Macaca mulatta: one gene and its partners. The protein of the gene in region 2 interacts with the protein of the main gene of each other region in a pairwise test. Links are inferred from orthologs where the notes say so. Each region holds a gene or a part of one and is shown on either strand. Other genes may lie near its edges.

What was found.
Region 1: the proteins of SORBS3 (region 2) and SOCS7 interact in binary tests that used the Homo sapiens proteins (3 or more experiments, as listed by UniProt). The link is inferred for Macaca mulatta from reciprocal best matches to the Homo sapiens genes SORBS3 and SOCS7.
Region 3: the proteins of SORBS3 (region 2) and SH2D4A interact in binary tests that used the Homo sapiens proteins (3 or more experiments, as listed by UniProt). The two-hybrid records come from large-scale screens. The link is inferred for Macaca mulatta from reciprocal best matches to the Homo sapiens genes SORBS3 and SH2D4A.
Region 4: the proteins of SORBS3 (region 2) and EIF3H interact in binary tests that used the Homo sapiens proteins (3 or more experiments, as listed by UniProt). The two-hybrid records come from large-scale screens. The link is inferred for Macaca mulatta from reciprocal best matches to the Homo sapiens genes SORBS3 and EIF3H.

What each region holds. Positions count from the first base shown.
Region 1 is NC_133421.1:62,662,117-62,665,677, reverse strand, and holds part of SOCS7 (suppressor of cytokine signaling 7), read right to left. Parts: intron 434-3,561; coding exon 298-433; intron 1-297. UniProt on the Homo sapiens protein: Substrate-recognition component of a cullin-5-RING E3 ubiquitin-protein ligase complex (ECS complex, also named CRL5 complex), which mediates the ubiquitination and subsequent proteasomal degradation of target proteins, such as DAB1 and IRS1.
Region 2 is NC_133413.1:24,214,695-24,219,055, reverse strand, and holds the start of SORBS3 (vinexin), read right to left. Parts: upstream 2,837-4,361; 5' UTR 2,658-2,836; coding exon 2,551-2,657; exon of another isoform or gene 2,018-2,550; intron 677-2,017; exon of another isoform or gene 635-676; coding exon of another isoform or gene 581-634; intron 372-580; exon of another isoform or gene 159-371; intron 1-158. UniProt on the Homo sapiens protein: Vinexin alpha isoform promotes up-regulation of actin stress fiber formation. Vinexin beta isoform plays a role in cell spreading and enhances the activation of JNK/SAPK in response to EGF stimulation by using its third SH3 domain.
Region 3 is NC_133413.1:20,954,156-20,958,412, forward strand, and holds the start of SH2D4A (SH2 domain-containing protein 4A), read left to right. Parts: upstream 1-1,420; 5' UTR 1,421-2,062; coding exon of another isoform or gene 2,063-2,108; intron 2,109-2,183; exon of another isoform or gene 2,184-2,364; intron 2,365-3,457; exon of another isoform or gene 3,458-3,559; intron 3,560-4,257. UniProt on the Homo sapiens protein: Inhibits estrogen-induced cell proliferation by competing with PLCG for binding to ESR1, blocking the effect of estrogen on PLCG and repressing estrogen-induced proliferation. May play a role in T-cell development and function.
Region 4 is NC_133413.1:127,045,665-127,049,225, forward strand, and holds part of EIF3H (eukaryotic translation initiation factor 3 subunit H), read right to left. Parts: coding exon 3,408-3,561; intron 1,920-3,407; coding exon 1,820-1,919; intron 612-1,819; coding exon 462-611; intron 1-461.

The DNA of each region.
Region 1 (3,561 bases), on a different chromosome or scaffold from region 2:
CACAATTCCCATTTTCTCAGTTATTATAGTTCTGTCTTCCTTACCCTTACCACTTCTACTCTATTCTTCACAGAGACTGCAGAAGGGAGGCTGACACACACACCTTCCTCCCTCTGGCTGCAATATGACAGTTCTAAAGTTAGGTGCTAAGACACAAGAAATGTGAAAGAATGATGTCTGCAAATATTTTATGCCAGACTCTGCCTGTGAAGGTAGCTTGCAGGCCTCACTGACATTTGTTACCTCCCCACAACCCCCTTACTCATTCCTGTCCCAACCCTAAGAACCCCATTGTACTTAGGCAGTGGGAGATCTGGGATGTGATCTATCCTGACGAGCTGTCGTATCCGGAATCTGCAAAGGTGCTGGAGGGATTTGACATTGCTGAATCGGGACACTGGATAGAGCAGCTGGACAGGAGTTGGTGGCAGTCCTTCAAGAAAGAAAACAAAGAAAAATATTCAGAGAAACAATGGAGCTAACTACCATTTCTTGTATGAAGAGAACCTAGGGAGGGGAAATGGGACTTCTTTATGGTTCATATATGTATTCTGTGCAAAAGCCCCTCCACAAAGGGCTGTTGATTTCCATTTCCAGAAGAACCACCACCACCTTCACACTTAAGGAAGTCTATTCTCTGCCAAAGGCCTCCCTAGCATCACTTTTGTGTGTGTGAGTGGTTTTTTTTTTTTTTTGAGACAGAGTTTCGCTTTTTTTTTTTTTTTTTTGTGAGACAGAGTCTCACTCTGTCACCCAGGCTGGAGTGCAGTGGCCGGATCTTAGCTCACTGCAAGCTCCGTCTCCCGGGTTTACGCCATTCTCCTGCCTCAGCCTCCCGAGTAGCTGGGACTACAGGCGCCCGCCACCTCGCCCAGCTAGTTTTTTTGGTATTATTTTTAGTAGAGACGGGGTTTCACCGTGTTAGCCAGGATGGTCTCGATCTCCTGACCTCGTGATCTGCCCGTCTCGGCCTCCCAAAGTGCTGGGATTAAGTGCTGGGATTACAGGCTTGAGCCACCCCGCCCGGCCTGAGAGTTTTGCTCTTTTTGCCCAGGCTGGAGTGCAATGGCGCGATCTCGGCTCACCGCAACCTCCGCCTCCCGGGTTCAAGCGATTCTCCTGCCTCAGCCTCCCGAGTAGCTGGGATTACAGGCATGTGCCACCACCCCGGCTAATTTTGTATTTTTAGTAGAGATGGGGTTTCTCCATGTTGGTCAGGCTGGTCTTGAACTCCCGACCTCAGGTGATCCACCTGCCTTGGCCTCCCAAAGTGCTGGGATTACAAGCGTGAGCCACTGCGCCCGGCCTGGTTTTTTTTTTTTTTTTTTTTTTTTTTGGAGACAGGGTCTCGTTCTGTCACCCAGGCTGGAGTGCAGTGGCCCAATCTCAGCTCACTGCAGCCTTGACCTCCCAGACTCAAGAAATCCTCCTGCCTCAGCCTCCTGAGTAGCTGGGACCACAGGTGCATGCCACTGTACCCAGCTAATTTTTGTATTTTTAGTAGAGACGGGGGTTCCCTGTGTTGCCCAGGCTAGTCTCAAACTCCTGGGCTCAAGCAATCCACCTGCCTCGGCCTCCCAAAGTGCTAGAATTATAGGCGTGAGCCACTGTGCCTGGCTCCTAGCATCACTCATAACAGCTGAGAGTCCTGCTCCTTGGAGTAGTCCAATGATGCCAAACTAGAGACACTGCTTGACCCAAGTGGCCAGTCCCAGGCCTGAGGCTCTTGGGAAGGCCAAGAATCAAAAGGATCCCTGCTGGGAATGGGAGATACTTGTTGGACACATCTACTAGTATCCTGAGAGTGAGGACTCAGAAAAGCCGTTCAGAGGAGTCCCCACCAAATTCCAACTGGTTCAGCAGAGAGGCTGGTAAGTAGAAGGTAACAGCTGGGATCAAAGTTGACAAATCTATTATTCCCGCTATTACTTCAAGCCAGGACAATCAGGTTTAGCCCCTCTTATACTCACCATCCACAACCCCCACTTCCTGCTTCTGAAATTTTAGGCCAGGAAACCAAAAAAAGATGATGCTTTTAAAAGAACAACCACCACAATAACTTGGGCAAGCTGGGTTTAGTACTACTCAGTGCAAACCTGCCTGCTGATTGATGCCAAATAGACTCAATGGGAGTACCACCTCCTTATGTATTAGCAGGCTATGTGCTGGGGAATCCCACCCCAAAAAGGGCCCCACGCCACAGCACAGAGACATCCAGAATGGCAGGAACACTGGGGTTCAAGGGAACTAAGAATATTTTGTTTTCTTTTTTTTTTTTTTTTTTTGAGACGGAGTCTCACTCTGTAGCCCAGGCTGGAGTGCAGTGGCACGATCTCAGCTCACTGCAAGCTCCGCCTCCCGGGTTCACGCCATTCTCCGGCCTCAGCCTCCCAAGTAGCTGGGACTACAGGCGCCCGACACCTCGCCCGGCTAGTTTTTTGTATTTCTTAGTAGAGACGGGGTTTCACCGTGTTAGCCAGGATGGTCTCGATCTCCTGACCTCGTGATCCACCCGTCTCGGCCTCCCAAAGTGCTGGGATTACAGGCTTGAGCCACCGCGCCCGGCCAGAATATTTTGTTTTCAATAAACAAAGGGGCTATGGAAGGTAAACAAGATTCTCTGAGAAAGAATCTGAGTTGTAAAACCTGTCAAAGAATTCTCAGCCATTGTCATATCAAAAGACATTCTGTAGACAATTCTGTAGACACAACTGATTGGAAAATAAAATATCTACTATTATTGGGGTTTAAGTTCAAACAGGTTTTTTGTTTATTTGTTTGTTTAAGACGGCATCTTGCCCTTGTCGCCCAGGCTGGAGTGCAGTGGCGTGATTTCGGCTCACTGCAAGCTCCAACTCCTAGGTTCAAGCGATTCTCCTGCCTTAGCCTCCCGAGTAGCTGGGATTACAGGTGCCCACCAACATGCCCAGCTAATATTTGTATTTTTAGTAGAGACGGGGTTTCACCATGTTGGCTAGGTTGGTCTCGAACTCCTGACCTCGGGTGATCCACCTGCCTCAGCCTCCCAAAGTGCTGGGATTACAGGTGTGAGCCACCATGCCCGGCCCAGATAGTTTTAAAATTTTGTTTGAAGGCATGAAAACAAAACAAATGAAAGCTTGCACACTGCATCCCAAAGCTTTTTCATGATCCCTGACAACAGACTTTCTGGGGGGAAAAAAAAAAAAAGAAATCAAAATATATTATTTTATTGTTACTGAGCAAGTAAGCTCATCTTAAAAACATACTCAGGCTAGGTGCAGTGGCACATGCCTGTAATCCTAGTACTTTGGGAGACCAAGGAGGAAAGATCACTTGAGGCCAGGAACTCGAGGCTACAGTGAGCCAAGATTGCACTGCTGCACTCCAGCCTGGGTAACAGAGCATGACCCTGTCTCTAAAAAAAATAATAGTAATAATGATAACTTATTTAGTCTTTAAAACTATACTTTGAGGCAAACACCACCATCCCCATTTCACATATAAAGAAACTGAGGCCCACTGAGCTTAGAGAACTTGCTGTGGCATGGAGCCAATAAAGTCGGCCTGCCTTGAACACCT
Region 2 (4,361 bases):
CCACGACCTGTAGTCAGAGGTTGCTGACCCTTGGTGCCCCCATCTGCCCCTTCTCAACCCTGCTCCCTGTGACATCCCCCCCGGAACCTCCAGGGAAGGGTGGTCCGAGTTCTTCTCTTGGCAGCCTGGTCAGGAGACTTACGGAGGACTTCCAAGGAAGAGGGTAGCATCTGGGGACTGGTCCCCCATGTAGCAGAGAGCGGAGGGGTCCTCCCAGAATTCAGGCCGCCCCTCCACGCAGGCAGCCAGCCCCGGGAGCGGGCGAGGTCCCGGGATCGGGAGAGGGGAGGCAGCCCTGCTGGGGCAGACACCGGCTTTCCTGCTCTGAACACTGCCCTGGTCTTGGGGGCTGGCCCTAAGCGCTTACCCAGGTATTTCTCAGCCACAAGGCCACGTGTACAAGGACAGGTTTCTTGAATTTCGCTTTTTCTGGTATGAGGGCTGATGGGGGGTACTTCCCACCTCTTCCCAGAGTTTGGGACGCGGACCCCAGGGAGGGACTCGGTGAGGTTCCCTGGGGTTGGGCATGGGTCCCTCCCGTGGCCTCGCCTACTCCCCGCCCCTCCTTCCCCGGACCTACCTTCCCGGGCGAGCAGGTGGCTGGGCCCGAGGCCGTCCGGGAGCGCAGGAGCATCCCTGCCCGGCTGCTGCCTGGCGCGGGCGCTCGGGGAAGAAGGGCAGGGAGAAGCGCGGGCCGTCGCGGCCCTCGTGACCGGGTCAGGACGGGCCGGGCCAGGCTGGGCGCCCGACAAGGAAGAGGGAGGCCGAGGGGGTGCGCGCTGGAGGCAGGACCGTGAGAGTCGCGCGGCGGGGCGGGCGGAGTTTGGGTCTCGGCTCTGGACTGCGGGCCGGGGCTGGGCCGGAGAGGAGGGGCGTGCGAGTGCCCTCCGTCCGTCGGGGAGCGCGCGGGGACACTGGTCCCCTGCAGAGGAGGCCGGGCCGGCGGGGAGGCGGCGCCGGGAGGGGCCGCCGAGGGTCCCCGGGGAGCTCTCTCTGGTTTCCCAGCTGCCATCCCGGCCCCTACCGCGGGGCTGGCGTCTGGGAGGGGTCGGGCGGCCCGACGCGGGCCACTCAGAGTTTCCAGCGACATTTCCAGAGTGTGGGAAGCGAGCGGCCTCGCGGCGGAGCCAGGACAGGGGGCAGGAGTGGTGAACCGGGCGGAGCCCGGACAAGGGGGCAGGAGTGGTGAACTGGGCAGGCCGGGGGAGGCGGACAGGCCGGGAGCGAGATGAGGGCGCCCCGCGGGCAGAGTGTCAGAGTTGACCAGGGGAAGGCCCCGCCGCCCGTCGGCGCTGGGGGAGAGGGTGTGCCTGCGGCGGCGCGCGGCCGGGCGTGTGCAAACAAACAGGCGCGCGTGCACTGCAAACGTGGGGACACTCACACACGTGCAAGCACAGGGAGGAAATCAGCCCAAGGGAGCGGCACCCCTGGGCGTGCCGCGCCCTTAGAGAGGATAAGGGTGGGGTCTCTTTTTCGGGGATGGGATTAGGAGGGTCTTGGTGTTCCCGGACATTGTGTTTGTTTTGATCTGCCTGCTTTTCCGCTGTTCTCGCTGCTCTGAGCTGAGTCCCTAGAGCCCCGGCCCTCTTGCTCCCCATCCACTCTGGCCATCCCCTCTCCCTGTCTCTGCCCCGAGCCTCTGTGTGGCACAGGGCCTGCTTCAGAAAGTGGGAATGCCTAAGGAGCATTGACCGGCCTGGAAACACTCTGGAATCCTTTCTAGCCCTTGGGTTGGCTCAGGGATCCCCAAGCCCCAAACCAACCAACCAGCAAATAGTTGCTGATCAACTTTAGATAGGAGCTGGGCGTGATCAATGCTAAATTATGAAAACAAATGTCATCTCCTGCATTCCTACTGGGTGTCAGACTGGTGCCAGAGGCCACCAAGAGCTTTGGAGTGTTTTCCAAACTCACCGCTCAACTCAAAGGTTGGAAGGAAAGAGAGTGGAGAAAAGACTAAGCGATTTTCAGTCCCTACCACCATTACTGCTTTAGTCTTATCTTCTCCCTCCTTCAGGTAAAGGAGTTCTCCCCAGTTGCCTTGAAAGGACATCACACGTGAAAGCTGGAGGAGATGTTTGGGTTGAGAAGCTTCAGATAGGCCTGCTGGCCTCTTGCGCCTGCGGGGCTGCCATGTAGACACAGACAGCCGCACCAGCAGCAGTGGGACCATTGGGGGACACATCATAGGGAAGCAAGTCCAAGGCTTCCCAGGAAACATTTGTACATGATTCCAGGGGTTCTGAGTCTGCCAATCCTGGGGCATCTATGTAAAGGCAACTGTCGCACTGAGCGGGAGCTGAACAAGATGACCTTCAAGACTCCTTCCAGGAACCTGCCTCTCCAGGAAGGTGGAGAGATGGGGATTGCGGGGCACTGCTGTGGAGGACAGCTGAGCAGGGGAGGAACCCTGGGACACTTCTTGAGGGAGGCAGCAGTGCACTGCCCCTCCCCTGAAGCTTAGATACCTGCTTACCCACCCCAGGTAGCCTCTTCCCTCCCTCAGGGATAAAATAGGTGCCCATTTTCTTAGACACGCATTTTTCCCACCTGTCAGGGTCCTTGGGACTAAGAAGGACCACATCACTTTCACTTTCTTCCTTCTTCTCCCAAGATGGTGAAGCTGAAGCTCTTCCGACTCCAGGAATCCTGGCCATACCCCCTCACCAGCAGCAAGCTTCTCTTATTCTCTAGGGCTCTGACCTGGACTCCAAGATAAATATTTAGTGTAGAGGGTGCAGCTGAGCTGACAAAATTCCCCACTTCCTGTTTCTCACAAAGGGAGGTGGCAGCCATGGGCAAGGAGCTGGGGACTGGCCACCAGTTTCATCTCTATGGGAATCGGGACTTGAGTAAACAGCTTTGTAGGAGGAGGCGGGGAAGGTCTACGGGAGACCTGAGCTTTCTTCCTGAGCCGCTTTGATTTCTGCCTGTCTGCTTAGGCCTGGGCTCTGCCAGGTTTATCACCTCTCTCAGGTCAGAATCCACCGTGTTCCGTGGTGCCCATCTGGCCTCACAGCCGAGAAGATGGGAGACAGAGGGCCACAGAGCAGGGAAAACATAAGGAAATTTGACTGATTCCTCCCTTTCTGCCCTTATCTAAAGAGAATAATTCGTTCTCTTTGAAAAGTAGATTAAGGGGGGAAAGGTAGCAAGGTTTGGAGATTGAGCCAGGAACCAGGTGTCAGATTTCCCGACGCCTCCCTCTAGCTCAGCTTCCCTTGCTACCTCCACAGCTGGCATGGTTAGGGAGAGGCTAAGGCTGGGAAGATGGTCCTAGATAAGGCGGCTGGCCAGCTGGCTGTCAACAACACAACAGATTCCTTTCCTTTCCAAATCCCACTGCACTCTCCCCTTTGCAAGCACGACTCCCCTGTCTAAGAGGGACCTCCCTCCCTGTGAGTCGCCGCTTCCCCACCTCTGGCACTGCCCTTTGTCGGGGGCTGCCTCTGCCTTCTCAGAGCCACCTGAGCCACAGTAAACAGAGTTATGTAACTGCCCTGTTTTCCCAGCTACCTGATCCCAGGCACCAGTATCCCCCGCTCAAGCCCTTGAGGCTGCACCTTTTGTTCTGTGGGTAGTCCCCAACATCACCATCAACAGGGGTCTGTCCACATCCCCTGCCCCCCATCCCCCGCCTGCAGGGGAGGATGAGCCAGGGGACTACCAGTAAATGTGGCTCTTCACAGGGAGGGGGAGAAGGTGGTGGAATGCGGGTCACTCTGAAAAGCAACCTCTGTCACCAAGGATGACAGATGAGGGGAAAGAGCACTGAAGTGAAGGCGGGGTGAGCGGGGTGGGCAGAGCACCCAGTTTTAGTTCTCAAGTGGGAAGAGGGAAGCCAGGGGTCCCAGAAGACATGAACCCGGACTCAGTTCTTGAGGAGCACCTTGCTCTGGTGCTTGGAATCGGCAATTCAGATGAGTCACCCTCTGAGATCTACCCTGGACAGTTAGGCGGCCCTAGCTCTGTGCCTCGGTACTCCCATGGAGATACAGGGCATCTGCTCTTCCTTTCTTCTCCTCCCCAGGGATGAACTTCAGGTGCTTTGAGTAGATTTTTTGGGGGGTTTTGCTCTCAGAATTCTGAGTGTTTTCTTCCTTCCTCTAAGCTGAGCAGTTAGACCAGAAGGGGTTAGCACAGAAAGCACTGCCCGTTTCCAGCAGTTTGGACTTCTCTAGAAGGCCACAGTGACACAATGGTGAGGAATTGAAACCAAGTCACATGGACACACCAGCAAGAATCTGGACTATGTTTCATCCCCTGGGCTCCATTCCTTTCTCCTGGGTCCTCTCTTGATTCCTGCTCCTGCAAATGTTGCCAGCCAAGTTCTACTGATGGCCCTTTCCATGCCAACCACT
Region 3 (4,257 bases), about 3.3 Mb from region 2:
TTTTGAAATTAAGGGAAAAACATCGAGCTTTTCTCTTCCAGACCATGCCAATTAAAAGGAAATTCCAGGAGTCAGGAGAAAGGGAACAAAAAGAGAATGTGGTAGAGGCGAGGGTAGACCAAGTAAAGAAGATGGAGAAGAAACTATAGAAATAAGAGAAGAAGAGATCATGCCAAATACAGGAAAGAGGCATGAGACAAGAAGGATGGAAAGGGGCAGAGAGAAAAGGGAAGAGTCTGGGTTCTGAGCTGATTGTGCTATTTGTGTACAGTGTGTGTTCCTTTGGGCTGTTAACATTCTTTCAAGATAGAAGCTCCAAGATGTTTCCTTACCTAATCTCCTAAGTGGCATACCATCATCACTTCTGCCGGGTTCTATTGGTCAAGCAAACCAACCTTTACAAAGTGGCGGGGAGCTATGCAAGGGTATGAATAACAGGAAGACGGGATCCCTGGGAATGACTTGGAATGTAAGTGGCATGGTGGGCAGAACCATAGCCTAGGGTGAGATAGCAGGAACCTGGAATTATAGTACCTTAATGTGATATGAACTGATCTGAGCAAATGTGTTTGAACACTCACCACATGCCAAGAGCTGTTCTAATCCCTTTGCATGCGGTATCTCATTTAACCCTCTTAACAACTTACGGAGGCAGACACTCTATCCAGAGAAGAAATTGAGGTACAGAGGTTAGTAGCACAGTGACAGAGCTATTATAAGGAAGGACTTGTCAGGACCTGGAGAGAGACTGGGTATGAGAAAGGTAAGTGGCTGTCACAGTGTCCTATGGGATTTTTCCAGATAAACCACCCTGTATAGTTAACCGATCCATCCATGCAGGGCTAGGATTCATTTCGACCTCGCCATAGTAGCTTTCCAGGGGCCAATCCCACTCCAGCCTAAAGCACCCCATAGGCTATCATTTAAACTGCAGTAGGAACTAAGCCTTAGACCAGAAATTTCTCCCTGATGGGATCCCTGGAATGGTTCCTAAATAGCTGGGTCTTGTTTCCTGACAATGCCGCCTGCCCCGAGGCTTGATGTGACTGCATAGCTTCTGCCGTTTGTAAAGGCGGGGAATGACGTTTTATGTTTGAACCCAGCAGGTCAGGCTCCTGAAGAGGTCAGGTAGTCTGTGGAGAGGACTACTGGTGTTTGCTATTTATTACATCTCTCCCAACACATAAAATCTGGGGTTCACCAAAGCAGGCGGTTTTCTTCCACATACTCCTCTAGGATGGAAAATGCCCTCCAGTGGAAATGCCTTTCCACTCTGCTTCTGCTGAATTTTCCTCCAAGATTTCCTCTAACTGTGGACTGCCAGCTCCTCCCTGATGTCTTCAGGCCCCAACCCAACCTGTTCTTGTTGCAATCCACAAGACTCCTTTCAGCATCTTAACTTTTTCCCCAGTTTTCTTTCATTTTCTCCTGGTCTGTGTTGACTGCGGTCTCCTTCTCAGCCTTTTCCGTCCTTCATCTTGTCCTACAAAGCCACACCTGTACCGACAAGTGCCAAAGAGTTTGATCATTTACTTAATGTCAACAAAAGAAAGAAAAAAAAAGCTCTAGAGTCGCCTTGGCCTGCGGCACCCAAGCCGAGTGAACAAGTGGGGCCCGCGCACCCTCCTACCCTCCACCTCGCATGGAACCCCGAGCTCTGAAACATGGAAAGGCCCAGACCTGCTGATTTAATCTAAGTCCTGCAGTCCCCAAGAGATCATAGACTGCAGATCCCAGTCCCACGAACTAAGAGAGGAGAGGAGCAAGGCTACCCCGGACTACCGCAGCTCGGGGACAGCGCGCAGACCAGGCGGCCCGAGATGCGCAGGCCACGCAGCCTGGCCGACGACTGTCCCTGGAGAGCCTCCAGGCGCCCGGGTGGGGCCGCGATCGCGCCCCGCTAGTCACCCGGCATGTGGGCGCGGCGGGGCGGCGCGGGCGGGCCGGCTGCAGGAGCTGTTTGGCGTCCCGGTCAGAGTATTTGCTCAGCCCGCCTGCGCCGCTTGGGACGCTTCTGCCTTTCCCTCCCTCCCTTCCCCGACGGCTTCTGGCGGCCAAGTGGATGTGGCGGGTGATCGGGCCACCCTGCCCAGGGGCGCCCAGCACTGGTAGGTGCTGGGGTTGGGGAGAGGCTTTGGCGAGAGTGTGCATGGGGTGGGAGTAGGGGGAAGGGAATTTCCTCGGGGGTTGCAGGGGTGCATGGGAGGCGCAGGGGCCAGAGGGGGCGGGCGGAAGCCTCACCCCCGCCTCCACCCCTTCGCGCCGCCCGGGGCGGGCTCAGGTGCGGGGTTAGGCGGCTAGAGCGGCTGCGGCGGGTATCCGGTGTCCGGTGTCCGGTGTCCGGTGACTGGAGCCGCTGGCTAGGTGAGCGGCTGTCCCCGGGGTCTGGGGGCTTGCAAGGGGTGGCGGGGGGAACTTCGAGGGAGAGGGTCTGCCGGAGCTGAGGACTTTCGGGGAAGTTCTGGGATCCGGCGGGGACACGCGGCGCGTGCTTCTACCCGCAGGGAGTGCAGGCCCCGGGAGGGTCCGGGCTGGACTGGAGTTTCTAGACTCCTAGCAGGAGCACGTCCTGGACCTGCGCCTGGAGATCTTCCAAGAGGGAAGTCCCGGGAAACAGTGGCAGCCGGCGCAGCACCCCGGCAGCGCGTTCCCCGCGCGCCGGCACCCAGGGGCGCCCCCAAGTGGGGTCAGGGCGCGCGCGGAGGCCCGTGCAGCGCCGCCTCCCAGGGGCTGCTGCGGCGGGGCTGGCCCAGACCCAGACCGGGTGCCCACTGGGCTCAACCAAGCGGCGCCCCTGCCCGCTCCTGGACTCGGGGGTTACGCGGGCACCGGAAGGAGCTACAGTTTGTAGGTTTTCTGAGTTGTCTTTCCCTTCCCAGGGAGCTTAGAGAAACAGCAAGCGTGGCACCTCCCCCTTCCGAACAGATGCTCCTCATCGCCCAAAAGGCTTTTATTTGATTGCTGGTTTAATGGAAACAACGACTTGGGTACCATTATTTTAAAATAGTGAATAAATAAGTGGAAAGCATACAGGGGCATAGATTTGGCATAGGAGTGGAATTTTCTATGTATACTAAATCTGTGTGTACAGTAACTTCAAATTTCTGAAGAATAGTATATATTTACAAAACTTGCCAAATTGCTGTCATCTCTGGTAATTTGTTTCATCTCCAAAAACAGCTCTTTTGCTGGTAGATGAATAAGATAAAGTTTGAATAAGAAAACAAAGCTCGACCACAGAGCTGGCTGTTTTAAAAGAATTAGAATTCAAGCTGTATTGTTAATGTTATAGTTACACTGTCCATACCACAATACTTTTATTTATTTTTTATTTTATTGGGTAAGTGCAAAAGTAGTTGTGTTTTTTATGGCAAAAACCACATTTATTTATTTATTTAGGCCATAAAAAAACACAATAACTTTTGCACCGACCTAATGTTTTTCATTTTTGAGGCAGGGTCTCCTTCTATCACCCAGGCTGTAGTGCAGTGGTGCGATCTTGGCCCACTGCAGCCTCAAACTCTCCAGCTCAAGTGATCCTCCCACCTCAGCCTCCCAGGTAGGTCGGACTCTAGGTGTGGGCCACCACACCTGGCTAATTTTTATATTTGTGTAGAGATGGAGTTTTGGCATGTTACCCAAGCTGGTCTCGAACTCCTGAGCTCAAGCAATCCACCCACATTCACCTCCCAAAGTGTTGGGATTACATTTTGAACCACTGTGCCTGGCCTACTATTTTTATGATTTAGGCTGTATCTTAGGCCTTTAAAATTTTTTATTTTGTTTAGGTATCAGAGTTATCCAAAAGACAGTTGTATGGTAGAACAGTGTGAAGGTGTGAGAATCAGGTCAAATCTATGGTATCATGGAAAACAACAGATTCTCTGATCCTTTAGCAATTGCTGTTCAGAATAAATTGCAGGTGTGGGCTTGCTTCTTATCATTTCTCTCTTTTAAGAAAGGTGCTGTGTTAGCTGAGCTATTCCTTTGTTGGATCTTGAATAACTGGAGGTTTGCTGCCCTTGATATAGTATGGGAAAGTCCTCAGCATTTGAATCCGTATCAGCAATGATTATTTGTTCTCGTCAGGGAATGAAAGTGGGAAAACCCTGGTTAGTTAATTTCCTCATTTCTATTTCTTCTACCGTGGCTCCACCAGTCTCCTTCACTTCACAGTAGATTATGTCACATACCGACTCATTAGGAGTCACAGACTGAACCAGCCCTCATTTCACAGATGAGGAAACTGAGTCCCGA
Region 4 (3,561 bases), about 100 Mb from region 2:
ACTTTACAACTGCAAGAGTCTGCATCTGAACAAGGGCAAGTACAGCCAGTAAAAGAAAAACGCATTTCTGTTCTTTTCCTGAGCATTATTAAACATCCAGACATAATACCCTAAGCCTCTTAGGATCGTGTACAAGAAATAAAGCTGAGCCATATAAAAAAGCCCTCCCTCATGGGCACTGACCTTATCAAAGCACAAATGATACAGCAAAGAAGGCAGCAGAGGGTTCTTCTAATATGAGCAATTGGTATTCAAACAATGTGTCGTTTCATATGATCAGTTTGGCGTTTTTCCCTGAGATCCTAACAAGGCCACACTATTACTCCATGTTATACAGGTTTTAAGAACCTATAAATGTTCTTAAGTAATTGTTTTCTTGTTTCACAGGTAAAGTTTATGTGAAAGAATCTTTTGCAGAAAGTTCTAAAAAATGGGACTTTTGATTAGGCAGGGCCACTTACCTGCTGGCAAGGCTGAGCAACTCATGTTTATCTGCAACAGCTGACTTCTTTTCAAGTTCCCACATTAGGACATTGATCAGATGTGAATTTTTAATTACAATCGGCACTTCTTCAAACATGTACTCAAAGGTGATATTTGCTTTTTTCAAACTGTGAAGCATGTTAAAAATACTTTAGTCTGATGGTCAAAAGTAGGTGCTAAATTGACTATTTCATAAAATTTACCTAATTATAGGCCCTATCCAAGATCTTTGTTTCATTAACACTCTTTAAAAAAAAAAGTAGAGAAACTAGAGTTTTACAGAGTCAAACATAAGTTAGGTCATTTGAGTAACTTTGAAAATGATCTGAATTTGAGCTAAAGCCCAGAAAATAAGATTCTTGGCAGAAGAAACTACTCATTCTTTGTAATCAGGTATCTTTAAAATTTCACTGATACTAAAATGTAAATGTCACAGTAAGTTATGCTACACAACCTACATCTACAACTTAATTTAAAATAGCTAGAAATGAGAAATACTCTATTTCTTGAAAAGTTCATTTTAAAAGCCTCTTCAATTAAGAGTTTAACAAGTAGCAGAACACTCAAGGAGACTCCAGATACAATAGTTAGAACACGCCAAGAACACAGTTTCTCATAGTTTAGTTATAGCTACCACATCCAGGAATTGTCCATGAGGATTTTTCTTTTAAAATTCTCTGTACCTTAACTTTTTAGGAGCCAAATGGGAAACTAGAGATGAACTGTCCTGCATGAAGTCAAAGCCATTAATTTTGATTCAACAGGAACTAAAAATTTCTATAATTAACAGAAAATGGAAGAATTCTAAGTATTTAATTGATTTAAAGTAAATATTACAATGCCATTGAATAGGATCCCAAAACAGCTCCATCCATTAATTCTCTGCATACCTGTCACCCATAAAATTGCCAATAAGCCACATTCTTTAACAAATTCTTAAAATATTTATATCTTTCCCACCCCCTCATTAAACAAGGGTTCGGAAAATAAGACACACAGCTCACAACCAGTCTGACACAGAGCTTACAATCGGACAGCCACTGATCACTCTTTCCACCTCCCTTTATTCAATCATTTATTTCTTCGAATCCAGTAGCTAATTAATTCCCATTCTAACTGAATTCACCCTTGCTGAGAACAACAGATGAGACATTCCCTAAAGAATAATTTAAACACGGAAAGGGATAGAGCAAGCAGCACTTGGCATGCAGAAAACTTCTACAGTCCACATGGCAAAAGCATTACTGCACCACAACCGAGGATGCAAGAGACGTGGCAAAGAAAAATCTTAACAGAAAAATACCCAACCCTTTACCAGATGCCCCCAAACACTTACGCTTCAGGGGAAAAATCCTTTTCTTTACAAACTTCCATCAGTTTAGGAGTCAGTCTGTAAGCCTTTAGTGAGAGAGACCCTTGGGCAGTTTTTATGGGATCTCAAACAAGGAAAGAGAAACAAATTACTAAGAATTTTGTCACTACCATGCTTGAAGAGCATTGGTTCTAGGCACATTCTGTTGCATATCACACAATCTTTGCAAAATAAAGATCAAAATAAACAACCAGAACACAATTTGAAGCCGACTCAAACCACTATATAGCAAGTAGCACTCGAAAATGCAGGAATACCTCTATCTATGCTACTTATGATAATTTCCTCTGTCAAAAACTAAACATACAAGAGTTATTTTCAAATTCATTCCTCAGCAAGAATCAGTAATCTTGCTGAAAATTAAATGTATCATATGTTCTAGACATCTTGTATAATTAGGAAATCACTGATAAATATTAAACATGAAAATCCACTGCATATACTTGGGTAGCTCTTCATTCAACTTAAAATGAATAGCCCTGCACACAAAATGTATCCATCCTAATAATCACTGTTCACATTTCTTCGTTAAAACAGATTGTAAAAACCATTCAAGTCAAACTGCTATCACAGAAGTGTCTTTTTGGAGAAACTAATTTTGTCAAAACTAACCGCTGAAACACTCCATGCGTAAGGGAGCTTAGCACTTGCTGCATGATAACAGCTCTGGCATGCCAATATTCGCCTAAAACCTGTGTTAACATTCATGTTGTCTGAAACTTAACACAGTGAAACTTTTTGCAATAGGTGATAAAATGAAAACCAAAATAGATTGAAACAAGTGGAAAATTCATCAAGGTCTGATGATGCAATGTTTCCAGCCAATATAAGTACACTTTAACAACTTGTTCTTTACTGTAATCCAATTGTTAACATACTGAAACAATTTTGGGGCAGCTCATAAGATTGATCGTATTCATTAGTATTTTTTCTGACAGATACTCAGGACGTTACATTTACTTCTCAGCTGGAAACTATATGCAAGTCTGCCAGATATGGCAAACTGTGAGTGTTTGGGGAGGGGGAAGGCTATAAAGCTGTTAAATTGCCTACAGTTCTGATACAGCACAGAACATCTGGTCTGGAGAGCTTGAGGAAACACCATTAAATAGGCCGAAAAGAAAAAAATCTTTGTGCTAAGAAACAGTCCAGGTTTTGTACACTGTTGTCAGAGGTATAAAAAAAACTTGGCACACTGTATTATGATTGGTCAGTCACGTACAGAGCCAGACACTCTAGCAATCGGGGTTTGTTAAGACATCTGGTCTAGTTCCACCAGCCCCTTCAATGAGGGAGGGGAGATGGAGGAATAAAAATGAAGCAGCTACTCCAGCATTCCAAAATGTACACATCAGGGCTCTGATAGCAAGAAAAATAAACAGAAAGAAGGAAACCCTGTCTAGACTGAGCTGCTGCTGAGGCTGCTGCAGAAACAGGGTTGGTATTTACTTGAGAAGGCCTGCCAGACTGCTCATAGAGGCAAAAAAGACAGAAAGCAAAAATAGTAGTAATAATATTAAGGGAAAAAAAGAATAATAAACCTCCTACTAACCATAAATGAGAACGACAGATTCTTCAATGGCATGCTGGTAACTGAACTGAGAGTCCAGGAGCGCCCGGGTAACGAATGAGCCATAGTATGTGGACTGGTACCAGCCCACATGAAGATGATCAATGTTTACATGGCGAAGGCTCCGCATCATTTC